Linked DNA regions of Caenorhabditis elegans. The protein of the gene in region 1 purifies or fractionates together with the protein of each later gene. This does not show direct contact. Each region holds a gene or a part of one and is shown in the gene's direction. Other genes may lie near its edges. The genes, in order: W02H5.8 and H27M09.5.

Region 1 (18,025 bases):
TTTGAAAGAAGGCCAAAAAATGGGTTTTTTTTTCTAAAAATTTTCAAAAAAAAAAATTGAAAACTTAGGCAAAAAATATTATTTTCCAATTGCTAATTTTTTAAAATTAGTTTTTGAAAAAAAAAAAACTCGAAACAAATTTTTTTTTTCGCTAAAATTTTTCCTCAAAAAAAAAGGTTTTTTTGGGATTCTCGCCGGAATTTTTTTCTAAAAAAAAAATTGAAGAAAACATGTTTTTTTTGTTTTTGAAAAATATTTAAAATGTCTAAAATTATTTTTGGCTTTTTGGAAAAAAAAAAGAAGAAGGCCAAAAAATGAAATTTCTTAAAATTTTTCAGTGTTTTTAAAAATTTGACAAAATAGGCAATTTTTTAAAAATTAGTTTAAAAAAAAAAAAACTCGCCTCCAAAATTGCCTCCAAAATTCACAAATTTAAAAATTTTTTGCCTCCAAAATTCACAAATTTAAAAATTTTTTCACTGTTTCCTAAAAAAACCCAAAAAAACCCTTTTCGTTTTTTTCTCAAAAAAGTTGCTTTTTTAAAATTTTTTGCCGGAATTATTTTTATAAAAAAAAATGTATTTCTACTTTTTTTTTGGAATTAATTTTTTCTAAAATTTTTTGTGTTTTTAAAAATTGGAAAAATTAGGCAAAACAATAAATTTTTTAATTGCTATTTTTTAAAAGTTGTTTTCAAAAAAATCAACTCGAAAAATTTTTTTTTTTCGCTAAAAATTTTCCTAAAAAAAAAGGACTTTTTTGCCGGAATTTTTAACTTTTCCTATTTAAAAATTTCCAAAAATACATAAACTTTGGAAAATTTATTTTTTCTTTAAAAGTTTTTTTTAACGTTTTTTTGCGTTTTCAAAAAAAATCGCTAACTTTCTTAAAAAATGAAAAAAAAAAATTTCGATTAGTATCTCGTTTTCTAGCTTAGAAGCTAGCTTAAAATGCATAAATTTTGAAAAAAAAAAGTTTTTTTTTTCCATTTTTTTTTGGGTTTTCAGCGATTTTTTTCATAACTGTAAATATTTATTTCGTAGAATTTTTTTGAATTTTTCTAATTTTTTTTTCCAATTTCGACAATTTTTTCTAAAAAATAGAATAAATCCCATACATTTCTTCATAAGCGGCTGAAAATGCTCAACAAAATGGTCGGCCTGAACCTCTTGAAGGCCCAAAATGTCGGCATCAAACGTGGGCAGCTCGACCTGAAGCCCACGCCATCGATGCTCCCAATCTAAAAATTGAGCAGAACCCTGCAGATGTCGGTACAAATAGTCGGTGCGAGCAATTGTCTTCTGACAGAGCACATTGTACGAGCAAATTGTGAATTTTGATGATATTTTCGGAATTTTTGATCTCGATTGGGCTTCTGTTCGGTTCCAGCATCGCACGAGACGCTTGAAATCCTTGCAATCTCGTGAGAATCCGTCGTTGATTTTTTTGAACGTTTGTTGTGTAGTCCCCGTGGAGGATGGTGAAGAAGAAGAAGCACCGTTTGACCAGAATGTTTCTGCCTGGAAAAAATGCAAGAATTCTGATATTTTCTAATTTCAACATTTTTTGCCGATTTGCCGGAAATCATGGGAAAAAATTAAAAAACAATAAAATTAAAAGGTTTTAAACCGTCCGAATTTCGTAATGTTTTTTATGGCGGTGGTTCAATTCCGGCAAATTCGGCTAATTGCCGGTTTGCCGATTTGCCAGAAAATTTAAATTTCGGTAAGTTGCCGGTTTGCCGATTTGCCGGAAATTTTCAATTCCGGCAACTTGCCGGTTTTCCGGAAATGGTCAACTCCCCCGTTTCGCCGATTTGCCGGAAATTTTTCATTTCAGGAAATTTGCCGGTTTGCCGATTTGCTTGAAATTGAAAATTTTGAATTTGCAAAAAAAATGTGCAAGACCACAATTTTCCTTTAAAAAATTTTTTGCCGGTTTTCCGGAAAATTCGGCAAATCGGCAATTTTTGCCGGTTTTTTTTTGTCAAATTTCCAGTAATTTTATACATTTTTGCACGGTTTTCTCGTGTATTAAACTATTTGTACCAAGTAAATGACATTTATCGAAAAGATTTGCTGAAAAAATCGATAAAAATTCCAAAAAGTTGCATTTTTTTGGCATTTCAAAAAAAAAAGAGAAAAAATGTCGCTTCGAGACCCGAAAAACTCACCATATTCGTTTCCAGCTGTGTCATCGTCCTGCCACGTCGAGGATATTCGCCAACAAATACAATGCCGTCTTGGGAATCTTGAAATAATTTTAATTTAAAAATTAAAAAAAAAAATCGAATTAAAAAATAGAAATAAACTACAACGTGTAGCCTTATTTCAAAAAAAAAAAAAAAAGAACAAAAACTGATAACTGGGGATTGGGGGGGACCGACCAACTTTCGAGATAAGCAAGTGCGCTCTACTGGACTGTTCAGCTAGACAGTGTTGCAGATGGGCAAATAGTGTTATTAAAATGGGGGGTTTTTGCTCGCATAGACTCGAAATTTTCTCAAATGATCGAATTTTGTAAGGAAAACTTAGAATCTCGAATGCTAAATTTAGCTAAAATCTTCAATTTGGGCAGCTTATACTTTTTACTTTTTTTTTTTTTGAAATTTGAAGAATTCGCACTACAAAATTTGTTCATTTGAGCACATTTCGAGCTAATCCAAGCAAAAATACGTAAAACTGTTACTCAACAATGGTTCAAGATGTGCGGCAGAACGAGGAAAAACCCCCCAAAAAATCATCGGAACAGGGTGTGGCGGTGGTGTGCTCAGCAAACAACTTTTTACGTGCAAAAAGTGGAAAAACTTAAAAATAACCCCGTTTGCAAATTCAAATCTACTAAAAATCCACGTGGTGTCGTCAGGATGTCTTATTGCGGTTTGATCTACGAAAAGCACGCTGTTAACCGAGCGAAATCAGATGAGATGTCCACCAGGGGTGAGCGCCGATCGCCGATTTTTTTTCGATCGCCGCTCTCCCCCGATGTCCACGTCTCAACTCCCGCATTTTTCGAAGATCAAAGCGAAATGAGACATTCTGACTCCACGTGGAAATCAGGGGTGTGCGGATAACCGATTTTTTCGGCTAACGGATAAATCGGCTAATGCGGATTTTTTGAAAACCGGCTAACGGATAATTCGACTAACGGCTAATTTCAAAATTTTCGGCTAACGGCTAATTCGGCTAAAATCAATCGGTCAAATCGGCTAATTTTCGGCTAATTCGGATAAAATTCATCTGGTCAAGCTTTTTTCGTTCTTTCTGTTAATTCAGGTTTTGGGTTAATTTTTTCATTGTTATTGAGCAAATTCAGTGATGAACGACTGTTCAAATAGGAAAAAATCATACAAATTCACCACATTTTGTTTTCCAAAAAAATGTTTTAGTGGAATTAGCCGAATTAGCCGATCGGCGAATTCGGCTAACAACGGCCAAAATCGGCTAACGGATAACTACGTATTAGCCGAACTGTCAAAAAGTCGGCAGACGGCTAACTCGACTAATTGGTACAAAATTCGGCTAACGGATAATTCGGCTAATATTAGCCGAGTTAGCCGAATCAGCCGATCGGTTAATTCGGCTAATTCGGCTATTATCCGCACACCCCTGATGTCCACCAGAGGTGAGCGCCGATCGCCGATTTTTTTTTCGATCGCCGCTCTCCCCTGATGTCCACGTCTCAACTCCCGCATTTTTCGAAGATCAAAGCGAAATGAGACATTCTGACTCCACGTGGAAATCTCAGCATTTTGATTCAGTCAATTTCGGTTTTTGTCTCAAGAGAGAATTCTCGAAAAAAAATAAGAGCCAAATCTCAAAAACAACTGACTAGTAAACAAAATTGGGGAAGAAAGGGCGATGTGATTTGTTATCAGCAAAAGATTTTTTTGTTCTTTTTTTTATAATTGAACAGATAAACACACAAAAAGTGGTGGGTAAACACGGTGCGTTGGAATGGCAAATATTGGGAATTCGACACGTGGTTTTCTGGAAAATTCCGATTTAAATGAGTTATAAATATTTAGAAATTTTGATCTTCTAAACTGCACGGCCTCCTGGAGTGTTCATAATTATTAGAGCGCGCTCGCGCGGCACCCCTCACGAACTCCAGAATTCGCGGGAATTCGTTTCGCGGGGACAGCAGTTTTGGCTATTTTTGGCTTCTATGGAAATTATTTTTAATTTTTTAAATTTATAATATTGTTCAGAAGCATCATACAAACCGAACATTTGTAAAATTATGAAATTTGGCTCAAAACGGAAGATTTTACACAAAGGATTCACTACAGTGTCTTTTAAACATGTATCAGGATCGTCAGTTTTTCGATTTATGTGCCGTAAAATATGTCACTTTGTAGAGAAAAGTTTGTTACACAGAAATCAGTCAAAATGTCTTATTTCGATTTGATCTACAAAAAATGCGGGAGAAGAGACGCTTGGTTAAGAGCGTGCTGACGTCACCACAAATTTTCTGGAAAAAATATTCCCCCGCATATTTTGTAGATCAAACTGAAATGAGACGCGAAAAATCACCACAATTATAAATTTTGCCTAGAAATGCTGTAATAAAGCTGGACTGGACATCTCCTGAGATTCTAGATTTAATTTTGGAAGAAAAAAAAGTACAAACTGCGTCAAAACGACTAGAAGACTTCTGAGGGAACGCGCGCGTGGGTGTGTATTGCCGGAATTGAAATTACCGGCAAATCGGCAAAGTGCAAAAATTGAAAAATTTCCGGCAAATAGGAAAATTGCCGGAGTTGAAAATTTCGGGCAAATCGGCAGATTGCCGGAGTTGAAATTTCCGGCAAATTGCCAATTTGGCGAACATGAACATTTCCGGCAAATCGGAAAATTTGCCAAAAATTAAAATTTCCGGCAAATCGGCTCATCGGAAATCACCGAAAATTGAAATTTCCGGCAAATTGAGAAACCGGCAAATTGCCGAAAATGAAAATTTCCGGCAAATCGGCAAATTTGCCAAAAATTAAAATTTCCGGCAAATCGGCAAGTTGTCGGATTTGAAAATTTCCGGCAAATTGGCAAATTGTCGGAATTGAAAATTTCCGGCAAATCGGCAAATTGTCGGAATTGAAAATTTCCGGCAAATTGGCAAATTGCCGAAAATGAAAATTTCCGGTAAATCGGAAAATTGCAGAAATTGAAAAATTTCCGGCAAATCGGCAATTTGGCGAACATGAAAATTTCCGGCAAATTGGCAATTTGCCAAAAAATAAAATTTCCGGCAAACCGGCAAATTGTCGGAATTGAAAATTTCCGGCAAATTGGCAAATTGCCGAAAATGAAAATTTCCGGCAAACCGGCAAATTGTCGGAATTAAAAATAAATTTATTTACCGATTCTGCCGACGGTCGTGCCCGGCTCCTGTCTGCCAAAAACTTTTTTTTTCAGATCCCTCGGCTCTGAGCTCTTTTTTCTCGTTTTTTCGAAAATGTCATCGTCGAGAACAATAATGCTGTCGTCCTGGGAGCCCGTGGGTCTAAAACTATTTTTTTCGGCGGTTTCTACAATAGTTCAGAGCATTTTAAGATGTACCTTTCATCCAAAACGACCTCTTCCACTTTTTTCGTCCGTGTCAGGTGTTGGTTTTTTGCCACTTTAAATAAATTAAATTGATTTTTTTTGCGGTTTTTATTGATTTTCAAGCTTTTTCGCGAATTTCGCAGTTTTTATTGATTTTTTATTTTAATTTTGCTTTAAAACGCATATTCTTCACTGTATATATCGTAATTTCACAGAATTATTCAGATATCGGGTCTCGGCGCGCAAAATTTTTTTTGGTAGCCGTTTTTCTTGCATTTTTCATTGAAATTACTTATATTTTAGCGAATTTCTTGTTGAAAATTGTTTTAAAAATCAGTTTCAGAGTACAAAAAAAAACACACACAAAAAAAGCGAGTGGGCGGCAGTTTGCCGGTTTGCCGGAAATTTCCTTTTTGGCAATTTGCCGATTTGCCAAAAATTTTCAATTCCCGCAACATGCCGATTTGCCGGAAAAAATCGGTTGCCGCCCACACCTGATTTGTACTTTGAAACTGACATGAGTTAAAACAATCTTAACGGAAAAATGCAAAGAAAACGACGAAAATCCCAAAGTATTTTCGTTGAAAAATGCAAGGGAGATACTACACTTTTTTTTTGCGCGCCGGGACCCGTCTCAATAAATTCATGCGCCTTTAAAAAGGCGTGTTGAAATTTTGTGAAATTACGACATATATGCGTTTGCAAACGAATTAAAATGAAAAATGAAAAATCAACAAAAACTATTACAGGAACACTAAATTCTGAGAATTCTGCGTATTGCACAACATATTTGACGCGGGCAAATATCTCGTACCGAAAACTACAGCAACCCTTTAATTGACTACTGTAGCGCCGCTGGTGTCGATTTACGGAAATAATGTATACACCGATAAAATATTGTAAAATACGAAAAAAATCGAGATCCCGTAAATCGACACCAGCGCGCTACAGTAGTCATTCAACGGGTTACTGTAGTTTTCGCTACGAGATATTTTGCGCGTCAAATGTGTTGTGTAATACGCAAAATTCTCAGAATTTTGTGTTCCCGTAATATGCGAAAGCCAATGTTATTTCAGCAGATCCTCCGTTGTCTGTGTGAAACTCACACCAACTAGCACAAAAATTCGACGACGTTGTCGGCTGCTGCTGCTGCTGATCTACGGATGATGGTGCATGTAGGGATGGTGGTGATGATGATGATCCGGGCGTCGCTTCATCATCGCCGAGACGAATAGTTTTGATGGGTTTCGGTGGCGGTCTGTACATCGGAGCCGGAAGCTGCTGCTAGAAATATCGAAAATGCGCTCAGATGCTTTAACCACGTGTGGTGTCAGACTGTCCCATTTCGGTTTGATCTACGTTGATCTACAGAAAACGCGGGAGTTACGTCGCATTTTGCCGGAGCGAAAAATTCCCGCATTTTTTGTAGGTCAAACTGAACAGCCAGACACCACGTGTGTGGTTAACCACTAACATTCGCGGCATCATCATCCGCCAAAAATTTGTTCCACGTGTATTGCGATGATCTTCTGTGGCCGTGGCCGCGGCCGCTAGCGGCGCCACGTTTGAAAACTCTTCCATTACCACCTGCACCACCACGCGTGCTCCGCTGGTCCGTAGGTCGTTTGGATTTTGGCCGCGGCTGGCGTGGCATGCCTGCAAAAATTCTCAATGTCTGCACACACACACTTCTGGCTTCCCTCTTCTTAATTGAAAAGGAAGAGTTTGCCGAATTAGGCCATATTGGCTCGGGGTAGATTTACGGCGCGTTGCGTGTCGCGTCGCGGCTTGTAAAACTAAACGTATTTGTCCGTGTGGAGTACACGACACTTTCCCACGCGTTGTCCGGCGGGCGATTGTAAATGGAGCGCGCAAGAAGTTCAATGAGGATGGCCAGAAGCCCGTGTTTCTGTACTTTGAACAGTGGTCATTTTTGTTGTCAAATTGCCAAAAATTGATCAATGAACACAAAAAAATCCTATCTTATCAACACAATCACCCCACGTCGTGTTTTCTCCGTGACCATATTGTCATATTTTTTTAAAAATTTCTTATTTTCCCATCCTAATTCATTTTCAGTTGGGCTAATAAAAATGTCGAAGAAATTTGTGAACAAAGCGGAGGAAGCTGTCGACGATGCGCTTTTTGGACTGGTTTCATCGAATTCGAATGTCAAATTTCATAAGGTTAGTATTACCGGGAACAGAGAATTCTGAGAATGCTGCGTATTGCACAACATATTTGACGCGCAAAATTTCTCCTAGCGAATACCACAGTAACCCTTTAAATGACTAGCGCTTGTGTCGATTTACGGGCTTTAATCAGTTTCGAAAATCGAAATCCCGTAAATCGACAACAGCTCGCTACAGTAGTCTTTTAAAGAGTTACTGTAGTTTCCGCTACGAGACGTTTTGCGCGTCAAATATGTTGTGCAATACGCATTCTCAGAGATTCTGTGTTCTCATGATATTGAATATTACCCATATGCAAAACTTTGCGATTTTTGATAGAAAGAGTACTGTACTTGCAAACTCGTTGCGGAATTTTGCCTTTTTTTTCGGTTTTTCAAGAGCCAATTTTTGGTATCCGTTCTCTCGACACGACAAGTTTTTGATTTTTGTTAAATACAAAAAGGTGTGCGCCTTTAAAGATTACTGTAATTTCAAACTTTTGCAGCAGCGGAATTTTTTTTATTGATTTTTCATTTTTGCATATATTTATATCAAAGAACCGTGAAAAATCGACAAAAATTTCGCAGCTACACAAGTTTAAAACTACAGTAAGCATTAAAGGCGCACACATTTGGGTATTCATCACAAATCAAAAACTTGTCGTGTCGAGACCGGTCACCGTACTTCTGCACGTGGTGCTAGGCTGTCTCACTACAGTTTGATCTACAAAAATGCGGGAATTTTTTTTGGCTCAAAAAAATGTGACGTCAACACGTTCCTAGCCATTCGAAATCAGTTGAGAACTCTGTCGCATTTTTTGTAGAATTATGTAGATCAAACCTAAATGAGACACTCTGCAACCACGTGCAACGCGAGTTTAAAACTACAGTAATCTTTAAAGGCGCATAGCCTTTTTGTATTTATCACTAATCAAGAAGATGTCGCGTCGAGACCGGTCACCGTAATTTTGGCACAAAAATCTCCCAATTCCAAGATAATAACAAGCCCCGGCACATTTCAGAGCTGCCGACGAGTTGTTCACATCACCGATCTCAACCCCTCGCACCACGTTTCCCTGATAGCTGGAGGTGGTTCAGGACACGAACCGTATGCTGCCGGATATGTTGGAAAAGGTCTTCTGACCGCTGCAATTGCCGGAAACGTGTTCGCTTCCCCGCCGTCGAGGAACGTTCAGGCGGCATTGGAGGCCACTAGAGGAGAAGGTACGGTTTGATCTACAAAAATCGCGGGGGAATTTTTTGCCCAAAAAATGTGACGTCATCACGTTCTTAACCAAGAAAAATCAGTTGAAAACTCTGCCGCATTTTTTGTAGATCTACGTAGATCAAACCGAATTTTTTTGCAGCCGGTGCCATCTTGTTCGTCATTAACTACACCGGAGACCGTCTGAACTTTGGTTTGGCGGCTGAGCGATTCAACGCATCAGGTGGCACAGCTCGAGTCGTCACGATCGCCGATGACGTGGCAATTGACAGCCCGAATAGCAAAGTTGGACGTAGAGGTCTGGCGGGTGCAGTTTTAACAATTAAAATTGCTGGAGCCATGGCCTGGGAAGGAAAATCGCTGGATGAGATCTACGAGACATCTCAAAAAGTTGTGAGCTCAATGGGTACACTCGGCGTGTCACTTTATACGGGAAGCTTGCCGGGCAAAAATCGAGAGACCGAGTTGCCGGACGATCAGATTGAAGTAGGACTGGGAATTCACGGTGAGCCGGGCAAATTTCGTGCTCAATTTGGCAGTGCCAATCGAATTGTGCACAGCTTGTTGGACACACTACGCTCGAAGATGGAAATGCGGGAAGGCGAGAAGTTTGTGGTTCTTGTCAACAATTTGGGTAGTGTTTCGCAGTTGGAGATGAACATCGTGAATGGAGAGGTTTTGAGATATTTTGGTGAGGAATAGGGAATAGCTTAAAATCGGTGTGATCTACAAAAAATGCGGGAATTTTTCGCCCAGAAAATTGTGACGTCATCACGCAATTTTTTTGTTAACAAACGATTATTTCCGGCAAATCGGCAAATTGCCGGAATTGAAAATTTACTGCAAATCGGCAAACCGGCAATTTGCCGCATCGCCGGAAATTTAAAAAAATTTTTTCTGGAAATTTCAAAATTTTTTATTCGGCAAAAATGATAAAATTGCCGGAATTGAAAATTTACGGCAAATCGGCAAATTGTAGTTTTGCACATTTTTCTGGAAATTTCAAAATTTTTGATTTTAATCGGCAAAATGAGTAAAATTGCCGGAATTAAAAATTTCAGGCAAATTGTGGTTTTGCACATTTTTTTCTAGAAATTTCCGAATTTAAATTTTAATCGGCAAAATTGGTAAAATTGTCGGAATTAAAAATTTCCGGCAAATCGGCAAATTGGCAGAATCGAAAATTTCCGGCAAATCAGCAAATTGTCGGAATAGAAAATTTCCGGAAATCGGCAAACCGACAATTTGCCGCATCGCCGGAAATTAAAAAAAATTTTTTCTGGAAATTTCAAAATTTTTTATTCGGCAAAAATGATAAAATTGCCGGAATTGAAAATTTACGGCAAATCGGCAAATTGTAGTTTTGCACATTTTTCTGGAAATTTCAAAATTTTTGATTTTAATCGGCAAAATGAGTAAAATTGCCGGAATTAAAAATTTCAGGCAAATTGTGGTTTTGCACATTTTTTTCTAGAAATTTCCGAATTTAAATTTTAATCGGCAAAATTGGTAAAATTGTCGGAATTAAAAATTTCCGGCAAATCGGCAAATTGGCAGAATCGAAAATTTCCGGCAAATCAGCAAATTGTCGGAATAGAAAATTTCCGGAAATCGGCAAACCGACAATTTGCCGCTTTGCCGAAAATTTTCGGCATAATGCGGTTTTGCACATTTTTTTGGAAATTTCAGAATTTCATTTTTAATCGGCAAAATTGGTAAAATTGCCGGAATTGAAATTTCCGGCAAATTGTAGTTTTGCACATTTTTTTTCTTGGAAATTTCAGAATTTCAAATTTTAATCGGCAAAATTGGTAAAATTGGCAGAACTGAAAATTTCCGGCAAATCGACAAATTGCCGGAATTGAAAATTCCTGGCAAATCGACAAATTGCCGGAATTGAAAATTTCTGGCAAATTCGAAAATTGCCGGAATATAAATTTCCGACAAATCGGCAAATTGGCGGAATTAAAAATTTCCGGAAATCGGCAAAATGCCGGAATCGAAATTTCCGGCAAATTGCGGGAATTGAAAAATTTCCGGAAATCGGCAAAATGCCGGAATCGAAATTTCCGGCAAATCGGCAATTTGCAGGGAATTTTCAAGTTAGGCAATTTGCCGGGAATTTTCAATTCAGGCAATTTGCCAATTTGCTGGAAAAAAAATCGTTTGCCGCCTACCCAAAACTTCCGAATTTCGGGAAAATCGAAAATTGTTTTTTTTCGACGACACCCACGCTGCTCCCGATCTTTGTAAAAAAAATCCAACTTTTTCAGAAGATCACAAAATTGGAATCACTCGATTCTTCAGCGGTATCTACATGACATCTTTAGACGGTCATGGCGTCAGTGTCACCATTCTGAGAGCCGATGACTCTATGCTACAGTACTTGGATGCTCCAGCGGCGGCGCCGGGATGGATTCCAGCACTTTCAGTACAAAAATGTGTAGATCATCAGGAAATTTCGGATTCGTCGTCCCAAGGCGACCTAATCTCAGAAATTCCAGCGTCTGGAGTAACTGTGAATGCCCAGCTCGTGGAAGCATGCGTCGGAGGAGTTGTGGATGCGATGCTGGAATCCGAGAAACATCTGAATCAACTCGACGCGTACGCCGGTGACGGAGACTGTGGGAGCACGTTTGCCGGAGCAGCTGAAGCGATTCGCAAGCAGACATCAGGCCTCAACTACACTCATCCGGAGACACTTCTCAAGCAGCTTTCCATCATTTTTGAGCAAACCGTCGGAGGAACCAGTGGAGCGCTGTACGCGTTGATGTTCAGCTCGGCGGCGCAGAGTTTCGCTCAAAGATCGCAAAGAGGAGAAAAGATCGATCGAACGTCGATTCTGGAGGCGTTGGACAAGGCGAATCGGGCGGTTCAAAAGTACGGAGGCGCGAGAGTCGGAGATCGGACGATGGTTGATGGATTGGATGCGATGGTCGAGGAGTTGAGAAAGGGATTCAGTGGGAATGAGGAATCGTTGGATGCGATCTTCGAGGCGGCGGTTAAGGTGGGTTGGGAAAATGTTTGAAATTCGGGGAAACCACAAAAAAAACGCGAAAGAATAACAAATCCAGCCCTTTCTGCAACATGAAACTCGCGACCAATCAGCGACTGGTCGAGCTCCGCCCATAGTGCCTGATTGGTTGAAAAGAAGACGGAGCAATGTGCTGATTGGTTGTAGTTAAGCATTTTGAAGGGAATTCAATTTTGGAAGAGTGCCCTCATGAATGCGAATTACGACCAATCAGCGCATCTCTCCGCCCACTTTTGAACCAATCAGCGTTCACATTGTGCTGATTGGTTGAAAAGGAGGCGGAGCGAAACGCACTGATTGGTCGTAGTTGAGCATTTTGGAGGGAATTCAAACAGGGAATTTAAGTTAGCCGAAAATCTTTAAAAATCTCGTTTTTAAAAGTTTGATTTTTCAACTTGGGCTGAGAACCTACCTACCAAAATGAAGCGTACGACCAATCAGCGATGCGCTCCGCCCACTTTTGGGCCAATCAGAGCTCTGATTGGTTCAAAAGTGGGCGGAGCAAATCGCTGATTGGTCGCAGTTCTGGTTTTGGGGGGAATTCACCAGAAATTTGTATTTTGCGATAATTTTGAATTTTAGCCTAATTAGGATGTAACGTCAATGAAAATTTCGCTTCAAAAAATCCAAAATAGTGTCGAATTCAGAAAAAAGCCACAAAAACGCAATTTTGGCTGAGTACGACCACCAATCAGCGATTCGCTCCGCCCCCTTTTCAACCAATCACATCTCTGATTGGCTGAAAAGTGGGCGGAGCGATGCGCTGATTGGTGGCAGTTCTCGTTTGGAGAAAATTCACCCAAAAATGAGAAAAAGTCCTTTTTTTTTTTTGAATTCGAAACTATTTTTGGATTTTTTGAAGCGATTTTATCAGCCAAAATTGAAAAATTACATTTTTTAAAGTTGGATTTTCCTTTTTTTTCGCGATTTTTTTCTGTGGAATTTTTGAGTTTTAGGCCTATTTTGAAAATTAATAATTTGCAGGCTTCCGAAAAAGCGGCGAAAGCGACTGCAAGCCAAACGGCAACCGTGGGCCGTGCCAGCTACACATCGTCAGAAGCCCAAACGAAGCCTGATGCAGGGGCCACGGCAATCTCACTCTGGCTTAGAGCTTGCTGGACGGCTTATAAAAGCGAAAAATGATCAGAGATCGAGAGAGAGAGATAGAGAAAAATGGATAATAAAACCATATACATAGTTTGAGCAAAAATTTAAAAATTTCGTGTCGAGAAATAAAAAATACTTTAAATAAAGATCATCGTATAAATAAATAAATAGACAAATGCACAATAAGAAGATACACATTTTAAAGGTGGTATAATCGATTTTTAATAAAAATTGCTTTATTAAACTCAAAATTGTCTGAAAACACCGAATTTCATAATGAAACTTTTTGAAAACTTCTCAAAAAACAGTTATGGCGACTCAAAAAATGGGCTAAAATTAGTTAAAATTTGAAATTTGACCGATTTTTCAGCGGCTGGAAATTAACTTTTTTGAAATCACCGTCAAATTTTGGGTGTATAAGTTAGTTAACTTGCGTTTTCAACTCGATTTAGGTACATTAAAGACCGATGGATTACCAGAAATAACCAAATTTTACAAAATCTGGATCGACCTTAACGGTGGAGATCAGGAAAATGAGCATTTTAAAGTAAAAAACTCATTTTCCTGATCTCCACCTTTAAAGTCGATTCAGATTTTGTAAAATTTGGTAACGCCTGGTGATCCGCCGACCTTAAATGTACCTAAATCAAGTTGAAAACGCAAGTTAATTAACTTACATACCCAAAACTAGATGGTGATTTCAAAAAAGTTAGTTTCCAGCCGCTGACAAGTTGGTCAAATTTCAAATTTTAGCTAAAAAAAAAACAAATTTTAGCCCATTTTTTGAGCCGCTATAACTTTTTACGAAATTAAACAAGTGATTATTTTTGAACTCGGGGCGTCGGAGAGCTCAGCTTCTTGTTAATGGCACGAAAGAAGACAGGCTGAGGGCGATTCTCGCCGCCGCCGCCGCCGCCTGAAGCCAACGGGCTCTGCGGTGGGTGAGTATCGTGAAGCAGCGGAGCATTGGGGCGCGGAGATTGAGCAGATCGATTTGGAGTAGAAGGATCCGCTGATGATGGTCCGTCTTGGTAGTAGAGATCTGAGACGTTGACGTCGAGTGGCCGAAAACGAGTTGATGATCCATTTGAAGAGCCCGACATTGATTGAGTGGCTCCGCGCTGGAAAATTGGAATTTTTTTGTTATTCAGGTTATTAAGGAAAAATGGCCAAATTTTCCGATTTTTGGAAATTCGGAAAATTTCAAATTTTCGGGTTTGCCGAAATTTCACTAAAATTCGATTTTTCGATGTTCCGAAAGATCAAAAATTGTCGTTTTTCGTAAAAATGGGACATTTTTTTGAACAAAATTGATTTTAAAAAAAAATTTTTTTGTTAATTTTCTGTACATTTTTTTGGTTTTTTTTTTAATTTTTCGGTTTCCGAGAAAATCAAAAAAATTTTTTTCTACCGAAGTTCTGAAAAAATTCGAAAAACAGCTTAAAATGCTGCGTATTTCTCATGTAAGAGATAATAGAATTTTTTAAACATTTTTTTTCGATTATTTTTTGTATACTTCTTCGTTTTTGTTTTTCCGATTTTTCGTTTTTCCGGAAAATCTTATAAAAAAATTTCAAAAAAAAAAATCAATTCTTCGGTAATAGCTTAAAATGCAGGTTTTTTTTTCCAATTTTTGTTTTTAGGAGAAATTTGAATTTTGTTTTCAGATTTTCGGAAAAATGCAAAATTTTTCGTTTTTATTTTTTTAAGAAATAAAAAACTTTTTTTTTGAATTTTTTTTTTTTGGAATTTATATGTTTTATAAAGTTTTTAATTAAAAAAAACTTTTTTTTTTTGATTTTTCGAGCGGCCGAAGACCAAAAAAGTTTTCTTATTCGATTTTCGGAAAAATGAAAAAAAAAATCGATTTTTCGGAAAAAAAGCCTAAAATTTTTCGATTTTCCGATTTTCACAAAAATTAACAAAAATTAAAAAATAAAATCGATATTTGAAAATATTAAAATTTGTCGTTGTTCTCTGAAAAAAAGAAGTTTTTTCTCAGTTTTCCTCGATTAGAAATTGGTAAGAAATTTTGGCAATTTGCCGGTTTTCCGGAAATTTTCATTTTCGCCAATTTGCCGATTTGCCGAAAATTTTCAATTCCGGCAAGTTTTTCTCGAAAAAATTTTAAAAAAAATCGAATTTTTTTGCCAATTTTCCTCGAGTAGAATCGTGGTGAGACCTGAAAATCTCGTGCTCCAAGTGTCTGCCGTCGCTTTTCTCCTCCCTTCTCCAGCAGAAGCGTATCATCGTCCGAGTACCGGAATGTGAGCTGTGATACGGTAGAGCCAATGCGTGGCCGCATTTGTTCTTGAGCCGAGTCTATCGAAAGACGGCGAATTTCGGCGGCACTGAAATCGTCGATTGAGCCCGGATTTTTGACGAGAAGCCGGTTTTGGAGCCTGTTGAGCCAAAATTGTCCGAATTTGCCCAGGCGTTTGGAGGCGTGAAAGTTTTCGCGAAGAATGTACAGGCCGAATGGTGTGATGGAGGCGATCTCGTTGAAACCCGTTTGCTGGAAGAAAAATGTTGTTTTTTTTTCGGCAAATTCGGCAAATTGGTAATTTGCCGGAAATTTTCAATACAGGTAATTTGCCGGATTGCCGATTTCCCAGAAATTTTCATTTACGGCAAATGGGCAAATTGCCGTATATTTTGATTTTCGGCAAATTTCCGGTTTGCCGATTTCGCGGAAATTTTGATTTTGGGCAATTTTCAATTCCGGTAATTTGCCGGAAATTTCAAACCCGGCATTTTGCCCAGTTGCCGGAAATTTCAATTCTGGCAATTTGCCGATTTGCCGGAAAAGTTGATTTTCGGCAGTTTGCCGATTTCCCGGAAATTTTCATTTCCGGCAAATGGGCAAATTGCCAAATATTTTAAATTCCGTCAGTTTGCCGGATTGCCGAGTTGCCGGAAATTTTCAATTCCGGCAATTTGTCGATTTTCCGATATTTCAATTCTGACAAATTGCAGTTTTCCGGAAATTTCAATTCCGGCAATTCGCAGGTTTGCCGATTTGGCGGAAATTTTCATTTTCGCCAGTTTGCCGGAAATCATAAATTCAGGCAATTTGCCGATTTGCCGGATTTTCAATTCCATCAATTTGCGGAAATTTCAATTCTGGCAATTTGCCGATTTGCCGGACATTTCAATACCGGCAAATTGCCGATTTGCCGGAAATTTCAATTTCGCCAAGAAAATTACATTAATTTCATTTGAAACACTTGGGAAAGTGCTAAAAATTGGTCTGAAAGTGGCAAAAAACCGGCAATTGGCAACTTTTAGGCCATTTTTGAGCATTTTCTCAAATTTTTCAGTTGAAATAACTGCCATTTTCAGAAAAACCAAGTTTTTTTTTGTTCTGGCAGTAATTTTTAATGAAAATTGCTTCAAAATAGTCTCTAATTCAAAAAATCCAAAAAAATCGAAAAAATTGAATGCTTCGAAGCTGCGACCAATCAGCGATTCGCTCCGTCCATTTTTTAACCAATCAGAGCTCGAAGTCGCTGATTGGTCGAAAAGTGGGCGGGGCGAGTCGCTGATTGGTCGCCGACCTCATTTGAAGGAAATTTAGCCAAAAAAAGGTGGATTTTTCATTTTTTCGCGATTTTTTTGGGGTTTTCTGAATTTGAGACTTTTCTCTTTGGGTTTTCGGGGAATCAAAGGAAAAACGCGATTTTTTTTCAAATTTTGGCCAAATTCCCTTTAAAACTTGAACTGCGACCAATCAGCGATTCGCTCCGCCCATTTTTCAACCAACCAGGTGCTGATTGGTAGAAAAATGGGCAGAGCGAGTCGCTGATTGGTCGCCGACCTCATTTTGGAGGGATGTTAGTCAAAATTTGAAAAAAAAACGCGAAAGAATGAATAATCCACCTTTTTTTGGCTAAAATCCCTTCAAATGAGGTTGGCGACCAGTCAGCGCCTCGCTCCGCCCACTTTTCGGCCAATCAGCACCTTATTGGTTCAAAAATGGGCGGAGCGAGTCGCTGATTGGTCGGCGGACCTATATGAAGGGATTTTAGCAAAAAAAATGTGGATTTTTCATTCTTTCGCAATTTTTTTGTGGTTTTTCTGAATTTGAGGCAATTTTTTTTCGGATTTTTCCGTTTCTTACTCGAATAAAATAAATGCCATGATTAATCAATAAATTAATCGGTTTCCCGCACTTTGGGACATCTTTCATCGATTTCCGAACGAATTTCGTCGGCGGCGGCAGCTCGTACTGCAAAATTCGTCCGGAATACGTGCCGAAAAGCACGACGGGCGGTGCGCCGTGATAAAATCGATAAACGCAAGCGCAAATGATCGAATCGTAGTATTGGGATCGTTCGAATGTGCACTCCTGTTCCCATGTCAGCTTGTCGTTCGAGAATTTTAGGCGCCAAATTTGAGCGGGACCCATGAACGAGGAGATCAGAAGGCGTTGGACGTTATTCGACACTTCGGGGAGAAATTCGACGACGCTGATCGGGCTGGCATAGCGTAGGCGGATACTGGAAAAAATAACGATTTTTTAAAATTTTTGAAATTTTTTAATTTTATTGATTTTTTTTAAAACCATTTTTAATTTTTCTTTGTTTCAAAAATCGGAAATTTTCGTTTTCCCGATTTTTTTTTTCGAAAAAAACGTTCAGAAAATCAATTAAAAATTTATTTTGAAAGTGATTTTTCGAAAAATCGATTTTTTTTTGTTGAAAATTCGGGAAAATCGAAAAATGGTCAGAAAATTAATTAAATTATATTTTTGAAATTTTGTTAGGTTTGCGAAAAACATACATAATTTTTCTAAAAATTCTAAAATTATCAACTTTCAAGAAATATTCCGATATTTCGTTTAAAAAGATCAGATTTTTCAAAAAATTTCAAATTTTTTGTCATCTTTCTTTTTTTTTTCTAAGAAGAAATATATATGTTTTCTTATATTTTTGTTTGTGGCA
Region 2 (14,420 bases), on another chromosome or scaffold:
CACCTTACTACAGTATTACTAAAAATATATTTGAAGAAATTGATAGACAAGCACACAGGAAATGCCACAGCGAAACAGAAACTAAGCATCATCTCTTCCTCTTTTCCCTAATACTCTTCTTCTCAAACTCTATTTCCTGATTGTGATCACTGAGCAAACCGTAAATGGAATGGCAAAGCCAACAGAAAAAATACGGGAGCAAAAAAGCAGGTGAGAGGAAAGCGAAAAAACGAATGTAAATCGACCGGAAATGAGCGAGTGAGAGAAGAGCAAAAAAGAAAATAAATAAAGAATTGAGCCTAAAGTTTCTGTATGCGGAAAAATGCTCGCCGCGGAGAATCGGAAAACAAATTATTGAAGTTGATTAGCTGAGAGAGCAATGTGATATGAGATCATATTGCCTAGTTTGCTTGTTAAAATTCTTTTCATTTAATATGCAACTAATAGTTGAAGTCGTGAACAGCATGATATTGAACAGAGTTTATGCGGCGAGGACTATAACGACAACCAACACCAACAAATACAATTAAAAATCAACAAGGGCAGGATAAAATATGGGGGAACTGACAGCATTAATAAATGCGAAACACTATCAATTGGTCGGTTTTCTACCAGCCTTCTTCATCTTGAGGGACTTGAGTTGGTACACTGGACCCAAATCCACTAGCTCCGTAATTGCCTCCAGCAGCACCTTGCATCCAGTCTGGAACAATCTGTTGTGCGTCGGCGAGAACACCAACAAGTTCGGACAGAAGACTGCAATCCTCCGAGATGAAGCTTGTAGCTCTTCCAGAGTTTCCAACTCTTCCAGTTCTGAAAACAATGCTTGCATTATTGAAACATTAATAAAATATAACTGACCTTCCGATACGATGGATATAGTCATCAATGTTGTCTGGCATGTCATAGTTGATGACATGATCCACTCCTTTGATATCAAGTCCACGTTCAGCGACCGCAGTAGCAATAAGAACAGGTTTCGATCCATTTCGGAATTGTCTCAAAGCTTCTGAACGCTCTCTCTGCTCACGGGCACCATGGATCTGTACATTTTGAATTAAAAAGCGGTCAAAAATGAAATATACCAACCGTGATAGCTGGAACTTGAGCCGATGACAAAATTGAAGCCAGTGTATCAGCCATTGCTCTTTGAGAAACGAAGACCATGGTTTTCTTTGTGTAAACTTCGGCACCTGAAATATTGAAATTTATTTCATCAAATAAGAAAACGAAAAACTCACTTTTCTCGGTCGTGTAACTGTCGATATCGATTCCCAGAAGCTCTAGAAGTTTGTCCTTCTTCTCGCTTCTTTCGCATCTCTCGAATTCCTGTAGGACGCACTTGTTTGCAGCTCCAATCTTGTCGATTGCAATCATCACGTAGTTTTCTCTGAGAAAAGCGCGAGCTGCTTCCTGTACAGAATCGGGGAAAGTGGCACTGAACATGAGTGTCTGGCGATTTTCTTTCCTCGGCATACTGTCATAATTGACAATAGTTTCGATGTCAGTTCCGAATCCCATAGCATCGATCATACGATCAGCCTCGTCAAGAACAAAGAAGCGGCATTTGTCAAGCTTGATGGTACCCTCTTCACAGAAGTGCTTGATTCTTCCGACAGTTCCGACAATGATCGTGGCTCCCTTTTCGATCTGACCCTTATTATAACCGACAGCCAATCCTCCGTAAACTGGTTTGATCTCCATCATTGTTTGATAAGCAAACTTTCTTCCCTCGTTGTAAATTTGATCAGCGAGTTCGCGAGTTGGAGTCAAGATGATGCAACGGGGATAGCAACCGCCTTCTCCGGCAGTGTTCAGATTATTATCGTCAATGAGACGAGTCATGATAGGCAGAAGGAATGCAGCGGTTTTTCCTGATCCAGTTTGAGCACAAGCCATGATATCATATCCCTGATGAACAAGTGGAAGAGCATATTGCTGAATTGGAGTGGTCTTGGAGTATCCAGCATGAGCAACGTTTTTCTGCATGGTCTCCGTGAGATTAGCTTCCGCGAATGTCTTGCAAGGTTTGATACCGACAGTCTTCTCGGATGAAGTCAGTTTAACTTCGGCATCGAAAAACTTGTTGAACATAAGGCCTTCCGAAATTTTCTGCATGTTGAAAACGTCCTCCATGTTGTCTTCGACTGGCACGTATGTCGCCTTAGGTCCTTCTCCTTCAACACCTTCCCTTGGCTTGGCTGGATTGGGGCACTCATTCGAGCGATGACCTTGCTCGCCACAATTGAAACATCCACGGGGTGGCTCCGGACATTCAGCAGAGCGATGTCCCTCGCCTTTACAGTTGAAACATTTCATTGGACCACGTTCTTCGCCTCCACCAAAACCACCGTCCCCACCGAAACCGTCATTTCCTCCATTGTTTCCAAATCCAGCTCCGCCCCCGAATCCACCAGTGCGACCCTCACGCGGCTTGCGTTCTTCTGTACATTCACGAGAGGTGTGCCCGGGTTGCTGGCAATTGTAGCACACTGAAAATAAAACAAATTACTGCCAATAAAGTTATATCAAAATAAAACCTCTCGGCTCTCTTTCCTTTCTCGGCTCTGGACAGTCACTCGATCGATGTCCTGGCTGTTGGCAATTGAAACAATCTGAAACAAACGTAATTATATAAAGTCAATTTAAAAAACGAACTATTGTTTCTCTCTCCGCCGCCATGTCCTCCTTCCCCAAAACCAGAGTTGCCACCTCCAAAGGATCCTCCTCCACTTCCGAATCCAGTTGCACTACCTCCAAAGCCACCTGATCCTCCAAATGCACTTGATTTTTCACCGCTTCCAAATCCAGATGTGGCAGTACTACCACCGAATCCAGAACTGGCTCCTCCATACGGCGATCCTCCTGTACTGCCTCCACCGAAGCCGGATCCACAAGTATTTCCACCTCCAAATCCAGAACCGCCAGTCTTTCCTCCACCGAATCCAGATCCGCCAGTGTTTCCTCCACCGAATCCAGATCCGCCAGTGTTTCCTCCACCGAATCCAGTACCTCCATTTTTACCACCACCAAACCCAGATCCTCCATTGTTACCACCACCGAAACCGCCTCCACTACCGAATCCAGTTTTGGCTGAAATAAAGTTTTTAATCAAAATAAAACCGGTGGAAAGTTCAAAATAAAACTCACCCTTAGCAGCACTTTCGCTATCACTCCAACCATCAGACATTTTCGCAGAAAATTAAGATTTTTCCAGAAAATTGAGTTGAAAACAGCAAAAAGAATTAGGAACTGTCCCAAAATTTAGTAGATGAGTGTGTCGAGGTTACTGTAGTTGGGGCGCGTGGCGAAACCTAAACGGTGTGAAAGTCTGTGTTCCTTTAAAGAATCGACTCTTTAAGAGGCACCACGGTTTCAAGATCTGATGGGATTCCGGATCTACGTTTTCCGGATCTACCATTTCCGGATCTACGTTTTCCGGATCTACGTTTTCCGGATCTACGTTTTCCGGATCTGGCACCGTGCCAACGCACAAAACGCTTTTCAACGCACGACTTTTTTCGAAATTTTCTTCTAGAAGAAACGCTTAACAACACGCGACGCGTAACATCGGAGCGTCGTTGTCACTTTTTTCTTCGAAAAAATAGCGTTTTAAGAGTTTGCACGGTGCCAGATCCGGAAAACGTAGATCCGGAAAACGTAGATCCGGAAATGGTAGATCCGGAAAACGTAGATCCGGACTCCCATCAGATCTTGAAACCGTGGTGTCTCCTTTAAAAAAAAGAATTTTGAGAATGCATTTAATTCATTTTTCTTTTTCAATGAACTCGATCAATTAATTATTTTCATGTTTTCTCGGAAATCCAGACTTTTTTTAAACATGAAATAAATAGTACAATTCTGACAAATATTTTTATAAATGTAAACAAGAAAACAGTAAATAAATAGATTGAGATACAATGTATGAATAAAATAATCAGAAACCACCATCGTCGCCTCCACCTCTTGCCAATGCTTGCGTCGTTTTGTTTCCGATTCCAGCGAGTTTTGGACAATCTGTGATGCGATGACCCAGACCGGAGCAGTATGCGCATCCCTGAAAACATGTTGAACTTCCCGATTTTCTAAATGTTTTCTAACTACCTTTTCCGCATTTGTGCCAGCTGGAGCAGTTCCCTCCTCGTCACCAGCCAACATTTTGAGAAATTCTGGAAGTTCCTGCCCTGCTTCTGCGAGTAATTGTTTCAAGTCGGAAAGCACTGACATCTCCGATTTTTTGTTGATAAATGTCGTTGCGAGACCTTTCCGTCCGGAACGTCCGGTACGACCAATTCGATGAACTGAAAATAAAAATTCAATTATGAAAAATAAATAAGAAATTCACCATAGTTCTCAATATCTTCAGGCATGTCAAAATTGATAACATGTTCAATTCCTTGGAAATCGAGTCCTTTTGATGCAACATCTGTTGCCACAAGTACATCTTTCTCATTTTTTCGGAATGCCTCAATTCCAGCATGACGGTCACTTTGATCTTTTCCTCCGTGAATTGAAGCAACTTCAACTCCTTTTACAAGCAAGTACTCGTAGATATTGTCAACGTCAACTTTCTTTTCGGCAAAAATCAAAACTCTGAAATATAAAACCGTTGCCATATTTCTAAATTAATTATTTTCTGATAAATAAAATCTTACTTGGGAGAAGTCTTTTGAAGGCATTCAAGTACACGAACCAATTTGTTTTCTGATCGAACAAACTCAAGCTCCTGGAGTACGTTCAATGAAGCAGCACCCGCACGTCCAACATTTACGACCTAAAATATTTATAATTTACAGACAAACTCCTGAAAAATTATTCTTTAAGAATTGAAGAATGACAACTTTTGGGAGTAGGTTAAAAAATTATATTTTTGAAACTTCTCGATTGCATAAATAAAACTTACAATAGGTTTGACCAGTGCTGATTTTGCGAAAAATTGAATCTTTCGTGGCATCGTAGCCGAGAAAAGGAGAGTTTGCCGTTGAGCTTTGAAGAAATAGAAAATTGATTTAATTTCATCTTCAAATCCCATATCAAGCATTCGATCAGCTTCATCTAGAACTAAGTAACGGCAAACCTGTAATAAATTGAAGCAATTTTTGAAATCTTTGAAGTTATGTCTTACTTCTAAATTTATAATTTTCTTGGTAAGCATATCAGATAGTCGTCCTGGTGTCGCAACAACAATATGAATACCACTGAAAATAATGAAAATCATAAAATTCGAAATTCTAATCACTCACTCTCTAACGTCTTTAGCTTGTTCGCCAATTGGGACTCCTCCAATACATAATCCAGCTCTCATTTCTGGAAGTCCAGCTTTTCCAAGAGCATCAAACATTTCAATGATCAGGTCAAAGATTTGACGAGCCAATTCTCTCTGAAAAGTATATTTCAAAATTAAAAACGGAATTATTGACGGATTTTGCTAAAGTTTTTTTAACAACAGAAATTGTTTGAACTCAAGTTTATACGATTTTGAATTTAAAAAGAATACCGATGGAACAATAATCAATCCAAATGGTCCTTCACTACGCATAAATGGAAGTTTCATCTCTTGCTCCAAACAGAACATAACTAACGGTAAAACAAACGTCATTGTTTTTCCAGAACCAGTAGAAGCAATACCAATCATGTCACGACCAGAAAGTCTGAAAATACCGATAAAAGTGAAAGTAATCGAATTTTTAAAGCTAACGCGACGGGAATTCCTTGTATCTGAATAGCTGTCGGTGTCACAATTCCTTTTTGTTTTTGCATGAATTCGAGCAATGATTTTGGAAATTTCATTTCCAAGAAGCTGCCGATTGGCGGTGGAATATGATCACCTTCACAACTGATTCCAAGACGTTTTCGTTGAATTTCATAGTCTTCTTGTGATTGACGACGGATGTGTCCAGGTGGACGCCAACTGAAGTTTTTATGAATTATTAATTCGACGAAGAATTCCTATTCTACAGTGAGGAAAATTGGGGTTGAAAAACTTACGCAGTGACAATTGGTTCTTCATATTTTTCACCTTTTGTAAGTTCAGCAACTGCCAAGAGACCTCCACCACGTGTAACTTTATCAAGTAACTCTTCTTCTTCCATTAATTGCCGTTCTGATTCGTCAATAACTGAAAAATATTATTTATTAATGAAACTTCGTCCTTATTTTCAGAAATATATTTAAAGACATCGAATATTTCTAATTATATTCCCAATTAATGTCCATTAATTTTATAAACTTATTTTAAATAAATAACCTCCTTGTGTCTCCATAATCTCAGCATGTTTCTCCAAAAGTGTTTTTCTCGCTTCTTCACTTTGCTTATCCTCTTCCTTTTTCTTTCGTTTTCTTTCAATTTCTTCTTTTTGATTCATTGTCGGAGCCAGTACTTGCTTCAGTAGGGCTCGACGATGTACCTAAAGTTTAATTTTTAATTCTTAAAATACTAATCTACACAAATACTTTTTCTCGTTTTCTCTGTAATGCAGTCAGAAACATATCATCCACGTCTTGATCATCATCTCCAGAAGATAAATTCATGCCGTCTCTGCGTTCTTTCATTTCTTCCTCTTGAATTTTTCGCCGGCGGTCCTCATATTTTCGTCGCGCCGCTTCCACATCTGTGCTCATTTCGGAATACTAAACGAATTTTTCTGTTCTACTTTTTAAGATACTTAAAAAAATTGAACTTGTGTATATATTTAAGTCGCATTGGATTCTACCGATTTTCCAATAAGATTTAATTGAAATACAAGAGAAATAGGTTTAATAACGGGAAAAACAAAAAATAAAATAACAAAGGTACCCAAAATCAGAAAATTTTTGGGCCAAGATCAACGTTCAAGGGGGTTTAGAAAAGATTTAGACCACAAGACGATAAGTGATATATCTTCCAGCAGTTTCCGATGGCCGAATGATTTTGACAACTTGTCCACGGCGGAGACCAAAATAACGAGCGACCGGATCACATTGTTGGATACGTGGCAACTGAGAATCCTTAAGTTTGCTGAAAATATCATATTTATAATCATGTTTTAATATGAAGACTTACTATCTAGCAAGTAGTTCTGCTTTCTCTTCGGCTGTCATGACGACATGTTCTGGTACCAACTCATGTTCTGTGATGTTTACCATGAGCTCAGCCTCTAAAAAGTGCTCCAACATGTACTTTGGGGCCATGTCGCCAATGGATTGTTTGGCGCTTGGAGTCATTCCGGTTTGTACGACAATGATAGCACGGGAGATATTCTGTTCTTGCATTTGCTGGCAGATAGCTTTAATAGTTTTGATTCCAATTTTGGCGTCCTCTGGGAAGAAAACAAACATTTGATCGGCTGGATCGTCGTTGTGAGCCACGAGAATTGTCAGATCTGAGCGAGCCGGCTTTTTTTCAGAGGGACGATCTCCGTACTGCACTTTGAATGTTTCCAATGGTTGATCTAATTCATCTTGAGCTACGAGATAACCACGATCGTGAACCATCTAAATATGAACATATTATCATGGCAAATACCAAATTTTGTTTACCTGAAGAACTGTTTTACGGATTCTCCACAATCTATAGGTCTCAAGCTCGTCGTCAGCCATTATTACTGTTAGTCTCTGCAATAAACTACTTTTAAAAAGTTTTCCGCCGACATTAAAGGTTGAAAAATAAAGAACAATTCGTCTTAGTCTCATCACAATTTTAAGTGTAACTTTGAACATATAACAACCTCTTTTAATTAATAATAAACATTGAGGTTAACAGGAAAAACATAAACTATGGTATACCAACAATTTAAATTGAATAATCAGAAGGGAGATTGCTGCAATGTCTCATATTCAAATTGGTGGGAAAGAATTGAAGGAAAAAAACATGAAAATCACTAAATTTGACAGGACAATTTTCGTTTTTCGAATAAAATTCCAATGGCTAAACAAAGCTCGTTAGCGTTATACCGGAGCATCGTTCATTGCGTCGAATGCTGCTGATTTTACGAGCAAAAATTTTGCGAACATAAGCGAACTTGAGTTTGTTTCAGAATAAATATTATTTAAATAGCTATACATTTAAAGCATTAAAGTGAAAAAGAATAAAACGCAATGAGATGATCAATACTTTATATTATGTATATTTTTGCTGTTCAAAAAGAAAAAAAAGAGGCAATTTCTTGGTCCAATAAAATCTAAAATTTCTGACATTAAACGATACAAATGATACAAGAGCTGAATAATACATGATAATTTTCTAAAAGTTAAAGAACGAGGTGCTGTTTCCGCCCGCTCCAGAAGTTGCTCCGCCTTCACCGTCACCGTCAAAGTTAAAGTTGAACGATCCATCTCCACCTCCACCAGCTGCGTTACCATTTGATGCAAATCCGAACGGATCGGATTGAGTGTTTCCCGAACCCTTTCCTTCATCCTCTCCGTCATAGTTAAGGAAATCCAGATCTCCAGTAGAACCACCATTGTTCGAACCATCATCTCCTGCTCCAATTCCGTCAAAATTAAAGTCGAAGTCTATAAAAATGGAGTTTTTTTTAATTTCACGTGTTTCATAACTTACTGCCTTCACCGCCACCTTCTCCCGCTGATGTACCCTTGCTATTCCCAAAAAAGTTAAAAGAGAAGTTATTGCTTTTGTTGGAACCGTTTTCGCTCATCACTTCTTCTTCGTCTTCTACATCTAGTTGTGCTCCCACTTGTTGATCTGCGAAATGAATAACTCAATGTTTATTGCCAAGTAAAACACTTACCATCAACAAACTGAACATCATTGTCTGCCTGCTTCTCAACGATCTCTGGTTCTTGTTCCTGGGAGAGTGCAGCCTGCTCCGTGGCTAGAATGTCCTTGAATACAGATGGTTGCTCAATTTCTTCTTGCTCACCGACTTCCATGGGACTTTCCTCGGGTACTTCCTGATCTACTTCCATTACATCCATCGATTGATCGGCATGATTTTCATGATTGCTAAGTTCTTCTTCTTCTTCTTCGGGCTCATCTAGGATTGATTCCGGTTGGGGGCTTGGAACTGCTGAAGTGTCTAACTCTTCTGCATCCCGTTGAACGACGCTGTCTTGACGAGTAGGCTGAATGGTAATTTGTGGTACCACCTCCCTTATTTCAGTGACATTTGGTGGTTCAATATGAACGCTTTCTTCAGCTGAATGTTCGATTACAGGTTCTTCGCCAACTTCCATCGGATGCTGTGTCGGAATTGGCTCTTTGGAGAAGGAAGATTTCGCGGTTTCGCTTATCTGTGGAGTGATCGAAACTTCCGAACTTTTCGAAGTTAACTGTTGTACGGCCTTTTCTGGCTTATTTGTTTTGTCCATCTGTAAATATTATTTCAGTTTGAAAAGGCAATTAGGCTTTATAAAATTTAGTTTTACATACCGACGCGAGAATAAAAGAACGATCAAACTGCATTGTTTCATCCAGACTGAGACTTCCACAAATTCGTCGATTCTCTTCCTCGTCCTTCAATGTTTCCAAACTTCTTTTCGATTTGTCTAACTTCGGCATCAAGGATTGATGGAGTTTATAGTGTTTCGCACACTCAATTACCGTCTTTTCGAACGATTTCTTTGATTCGGCTTTCACTGAAAATTTGATATATTACAAAAAATTAAGTGTATTCGATGCTTCATAACTTACATGTAGCTTTCTTGGTACGGATATCATCGGCAAGACACTTCTTCTGATCTCTGAGCCCCTCCACTACTTCTTCTAGAATTCTTTTCTCCTCTTCCATTGCACGAAGCTTATGTACGTCGGATGAATTTTCTAGATTTTTCAGAATTGAGGCACTTTTCACGATGAGCTCCTCAGTGGCCCTGGTTGTGTCCACAAGCCGCTGTTCGTTGATTTCCTGGACTCGTCGAGCCTCGGTGTTCGTCTCTTGCACGGATTTTCGTAGGTCGTCACATTCGTAATATTTCCTTTAAAAAATTGAATGGTTTACTCGAGTCAAAATAGACATTGTGTTACTTTTAATGTGAACAAACTTACTGCTGAACTGTCAGCTTCTTTTCTTGAACCTGCCGAGATAGCTCAGCAATGTGTAGACGATCTTCCATTACTGTCAGCGATGTTTGATAAGCTGATTTCAGCTTCTCCTGGAGTTTCCCACTTTTTGCCAACTCGGCGCGTCTCTCATCTAATGCATAGATTCCTTTGGCTAAATAATAAAATAGTGGAAAACGATGAACCATCGGGAATCTTACCTTCGGATACCATTTTCGTCAGCAACTTTGCCAACATTTTTCTTCCTTCCGTGTTGATCATGTTTCGCTCCACAAGTTGATTTGATTGGCGAAGAAACTGAAAGAAGAGGATTACAACTGATTGTCTGTAGATTAAAAATACCTCATGGCATCGCAGAACTTTTGGATTTTTCTCATTTGGACGTACTTGTAGCGTCGGAAACGACATTATTTCGCCTTGAAATAAAAAATTTTGATGAAAAATGAGGTTACCGTACCGAACAAAGAAACAGAAAAGTTCAGTTTTCTCCTAAAAGCAACAAACTTTTGAATGGAGATTTTTTTCGTGCCTGCACATCAAAGGTTACTGTACCTGCAATTGCTCGTAAACTTAAATGTAAAATACGCAAATTGCCATCACGTCAAAATCCGCCTCATATACACTAAACACAGTGAGTAGCGGAGACCGCAAAATGTCGGGACACCCTATCGCACTACTCCCTCCACCCGCAGGCTCATAAACTTACCTGGCTGGGGGTTATTTCGCGATCACAAAGGCGGAATCCCCATGGTTAGGCCTACCCATTGCACTTTTGGTGCGGGCTGACCTGTGTGGCAGTCTCGAGTTGAGATTCGCCAACAGCTTAATTTTTGCGTATCGGGGCTGCGTGCGCGCGGCCCTGAAAAGTGGGTCTATATGTAACACCTAGCCGATGTTCTTTTACGATATTTGGGAGATTTGAAAGTTCACTGAAGGATGGAAAAGACGCTAATATAAATTTATCAAAATTAAACGTCTCGAACTGGATGTGTCGTTTGCATAGCCTTTTCATTTGATCAAAACATCTTTATTTCTATTTTGTTCACAAAATGAGTTCATCGCCAGAACAAATGGCCGAGAATGTGAATTACCGTAGGTTTACTCATTGATTCAGCTTTTGAAGCAACTTTTACAGTATGTCTTATGGTGACTGCCACTTTAACTAGTGCAACGATGGTGCTTGGATGTACTACCGGGCATCGTGAGATGTTCCGACGAAAAGGTTCAAAGTCAAAGAAATCAATGAAATCGAAGAAATCTAAAAAATCTAAGAGAGAAAAGAAGGGTGATAATGAAGATGAAAAGGAAAATTATAAGGAAGATGGAAATGATCACAATAATGGATCTGACAGGAAAGAAGGTTCTAAAAAGAAAAAATCAAGACAGAAGAGTATGAAAAGCTCACGGAGCAAACGGAAGAAGAGACACAGTTCTGGAAGTAAACGTGGCAGTTCTAGGGACAAAAGAGATAGCTCTCGGAGCAAGAAAAATAATGTATCGGCTCATAAAATGGAGAAATCTCCAAGTAGACGTGATTTTGGAAGAGGAGGTGATAGAGATAGAGATAGAGATGGAGAATCCAGAAGAAGTAGTTATAGGGATGAAAAGAGAAGACGTGAAAATTCACATAAGTCAGCCAGATCAATGCCTGTAGAAAAAAGCAACAGCTACCGAAATTACAAGAAATACGATGACAAGGTGGAGGATCCACCACATGAGAAACGAAATTCTGATGACGTTCGTTCAGTTTATGTGGATACTGGAAAATCAACATATTCCACTGCTGTAAAGCCATCAAATGATAATCCAAAATCATATTATTCTCTTCCACCAACATCTCCTTCAAAGGAAAAACCCACAAAAAAGATTTCACGAAATTATTTGGCTGATCCATTGTCTCCGGGGGATAAGAAATCAGCAAAAATCTCAACGAAAAAGTTGATTTCTACAATAAAACCACCAAAAACGCTTTCTAAAAAATCAGCAAAATCTACGAGAAATCCATTGAAATCGCCTTCCAAAAGGTCTAATAGTGTGAGACCAGAAAAGAAAAATAAAATCATTTCGAAGAAGGCGTCCAAGAAAAATGTTGAATCGAGAAAATCAAAGAGAAAGTGAACATGTGGTTAGTTTTTCTTTTATTGTATTTTGGAAAAAGAGTTATATTTAATATCGTAAGTAGTCTCGTGAAATCACTTTAAGGACACAGGATATATGATTTTTTAAAGTGGGTCCCACCACGATCTCAGTCTCAGCCAAATTTCACGGATTCACGAAATCACGATTGCTAGAAATGGTTATATCTCGTAATTTTGTGAAAAAGAAGTACCTTCGTCTCTAGGTGTTTGGGGGAATTTTTGATTCATAAAATTTCAGTATTTGTACAGTTTAGTTGACGATGGTGTAGAGCTACTGTCAAATAATCGAATATCAGAAAAATACATTACAAAAAATTTCCAGATTTTTGTAAATTTCTATTTAGTCTAAGTTTTGTTGGTGAACTGCCAAATTAAAAAAGGTGATATTTTCCAGAAATTGAAATCAATTTTGCATGTCTTACTAGTTAATCTCTAAAATGTTTGAATGCAATTATTTCGAACATGGTTAGAATATGAAATTCGTAGAAAAAATTGATCGACTTCCAAAATTATGAGATCATTTTTGTCAACAAATAAAAAAGTTCAAAAGTGTTACTTTTCTAAGATTTTCCCCTCTTAGCACATCTTCTATAATATTTTCAGATTTCTGGATCAATCGTCTCCTGCTGTACAAGTGAACTGATATTCTTCCGATTATTTTAAAAGTTGAAATGAATATTCCAACTATTACATGTTTTGAACTTTGATATGCAACACAGAATTTTTTGAATAAATAATAATTTATTGAAATAACACAGAATCCACGAGAAATTAATAGCCTGGTGGAGTTCTTGGAGTTGGGCAATGGAAGCAATCTCCATTTGGTCCCTTTGATCCAATTGGTCCTTGTCCTCCAGTTTCTCCCTTTCTTCCAGCTCTTCCTTTTCTTCCTTGATCTCCAGTTGGTCCTTGAACTCCTGGATGAACTGATCCTGGAACTCCCTTTGGTCCACGTTCTCCCTTGCGTCCTTGTGGTCCTGGGGCTCCTCCGGCTCCTGGTGGTCCATTGACCTGAAATATTTCCTGTGCTGCAGTTAAAGCTCATCAACACTATAAAACTTACATTAATAACTCTTCCATCATCTCCCTTCTTTCCTGGTGGTCCTTGTGGTCCTGGTTCTCCTTGAGTTCCAGCTGGTCCAGACATACCTGGCTCTCCACGTCTTCCATCAACACCGGAAAGTCCTGGTGATCCACGTGGTCCTTGTGGTCCCTTGGCTCCTGGAGCACCTCCAAGTCCTTGTGCACCTGGTGGGCAGATCATGCATGGTTCAGATTGAAGTCCATCAGATGGTCCAACACCTCCATCCTTTCCATTCTTAGCATCATTTCCAGCTGATCCATCATTTCCGTCCTTTCCATCATCTCCTGGTGGTCCTGGTGGTCCAGCCTTTCCTTGTTGGCATGTACAACATTGTGGTTCTGGTTCAGCATTAACAACTGGTCCATATCCATTGTTGGTTCCTTGTGCACCATATCCACTATCAGCTGGTCCACTACCGTATCCACCGGCTCCACCTCCGACTCCAGAATCTTGAACCCATGATCCGAATTGCCAAGCACGCTTTGCACGATATCCACTCTTTCCAGCAGTTGAATACATGTTAACAAGCATGTCACGGGAACGCATCTATAATTATAAAAATAAATGATTTTATAAAAAATAAAATAATTGACTAACCATACAGAAACCAGTTTCCTGAGAGATTTCACTTTGAATACTGATAACCATATTGTAGATCATTGGAAGAGCAACCAATGAGCTCACAACAGCACATGTTGAGACAATAATTGCTGCGATGGCAATACGACGAGCGTGGCTGAAATTATCATTTTCATGTTTTAAAATAAAATTTCTTCGAGTGAAAAAGGTCCTGTTTTCCCGTGACTGTATTTATGCGGATTTCGTGAATTTTAATATTTTTGAATCTACAGTAATCACGGATACGGTAGCTGAAAAGAAATGCTCGTGGGTTCACCTACGGGTTCAAAATCAGAAAGAAGCAGGGAATAAATTACTTTTTTCATGCTCTTAGTAATCCTGATTTTTCTAGAAATCCTATAATAAATGTAATATTTTCGAATTTACAATAGGAAAAAATGTTTTAAAAAATATTCATATAAATTTTTTTTTAATTTAAAATTTTGAATTTTTTGAAAATTCACTAAAATTAACAATAAAAAGGGGGTATCGATAATTATTTCATTATAAACTCACCAATGTTGATCCTTTCCGTCCATTTTGATTGAAGAAAAAGGAATCTTACTCTTTCCCGTGGACC

Evidence for each region.
Region 2: the proteins of W02H5.8 (region 1) and H27M09.5 fractionate together in Caenorhabditis elegans (co-fractionation; one large-scale study listed by BioGRID). This does not show direct contact.

Annotation. Positions count from the first base shown.
Region 1 is NC_003283.11:2,642,258-2,660,282, reverse strand, and holds W02H5.8 (Triokinase/FMN cyclase), read left to right. Parts: upstream 1-7,625; 5' UTR 7,626-7,639; coding exon 7,640-7,732; intron 7,733-8,738; coding exon 8,739-8,940; intron 8,941-9,083; coding exon 9,084-9,632; intron 9,633-11,214; coding exon 11,215-11,948; intron 11,949-12,959; coding exon 12,960-13,118; 3' UTR 13,119-13,228; downstream 13,229-18,025. Other genes in the region: angl-1 (Endonuclease/exonuclease/phosphatase domain-containing protein), read right to left, coding at 1,118-1,520, 2,174-2,250, 5,360-5,502, 5,559-5,619, 6,653-6,830, 7,021-7,200; W02H5.2 (SOCS box domain-containing protein), read right to left, coding at 13,904-14,203, 15,265-15,597, 17,203-17,581.
Region 2 is NC_003279.8:6,843,582-6,858,001, reverse strand, and holds H27M09.5 (uncharacterized protein), read left to right. Parts: upstream 1-11,042; 5' UTR 11,043-11,049; coding exon 11,050-11,092; intron 11,093-11,135; coding exon 11,136-12,118; 3' UTR 12,119-12,125; intron 12,126-12,741; 3' UTR 12,742-12,825; downstream 12,826-14,420. Other genes in the region: ATP-dependent RNA helicase glh-1, read right to left, coding at 609-813, 862-1,043, 1,090-1,193, 1,242-2,492, 2,541-2,615, 2,659-3,093, 3,151-3,190; sacy-1 (RNA helicase), read right to left, coding at 3,938-4,057, 4,105-4,301, 4,346-4,593, 4,656-4,774, 4,904-5,077, 5,126-5,198, 5,244-5,380, 5,498-5,651 and 4 more; rpb-5 (DNA-directed RNA polymerases I, II, and III subunit RPABC1), read right to left, coding at 6,853-6,997, 7,043-7,473, 7,519-7,578; syp-4 (Synaptonemal complex protein 4), read right to left, coding at 8,222-8,493, 8,540-8,683, 8,730-9,309, 9,371-9,576, 9,632-9,915, 9,986-10,154, 10,201-10,297, 10,343-10,408; dpy-14 (Nematode cuticle collagen N-terminal domain-containing protein), read right to left, coding at 12,910-13,149, 13,202-13,768, 13,820-13,958, 14,357-14,379.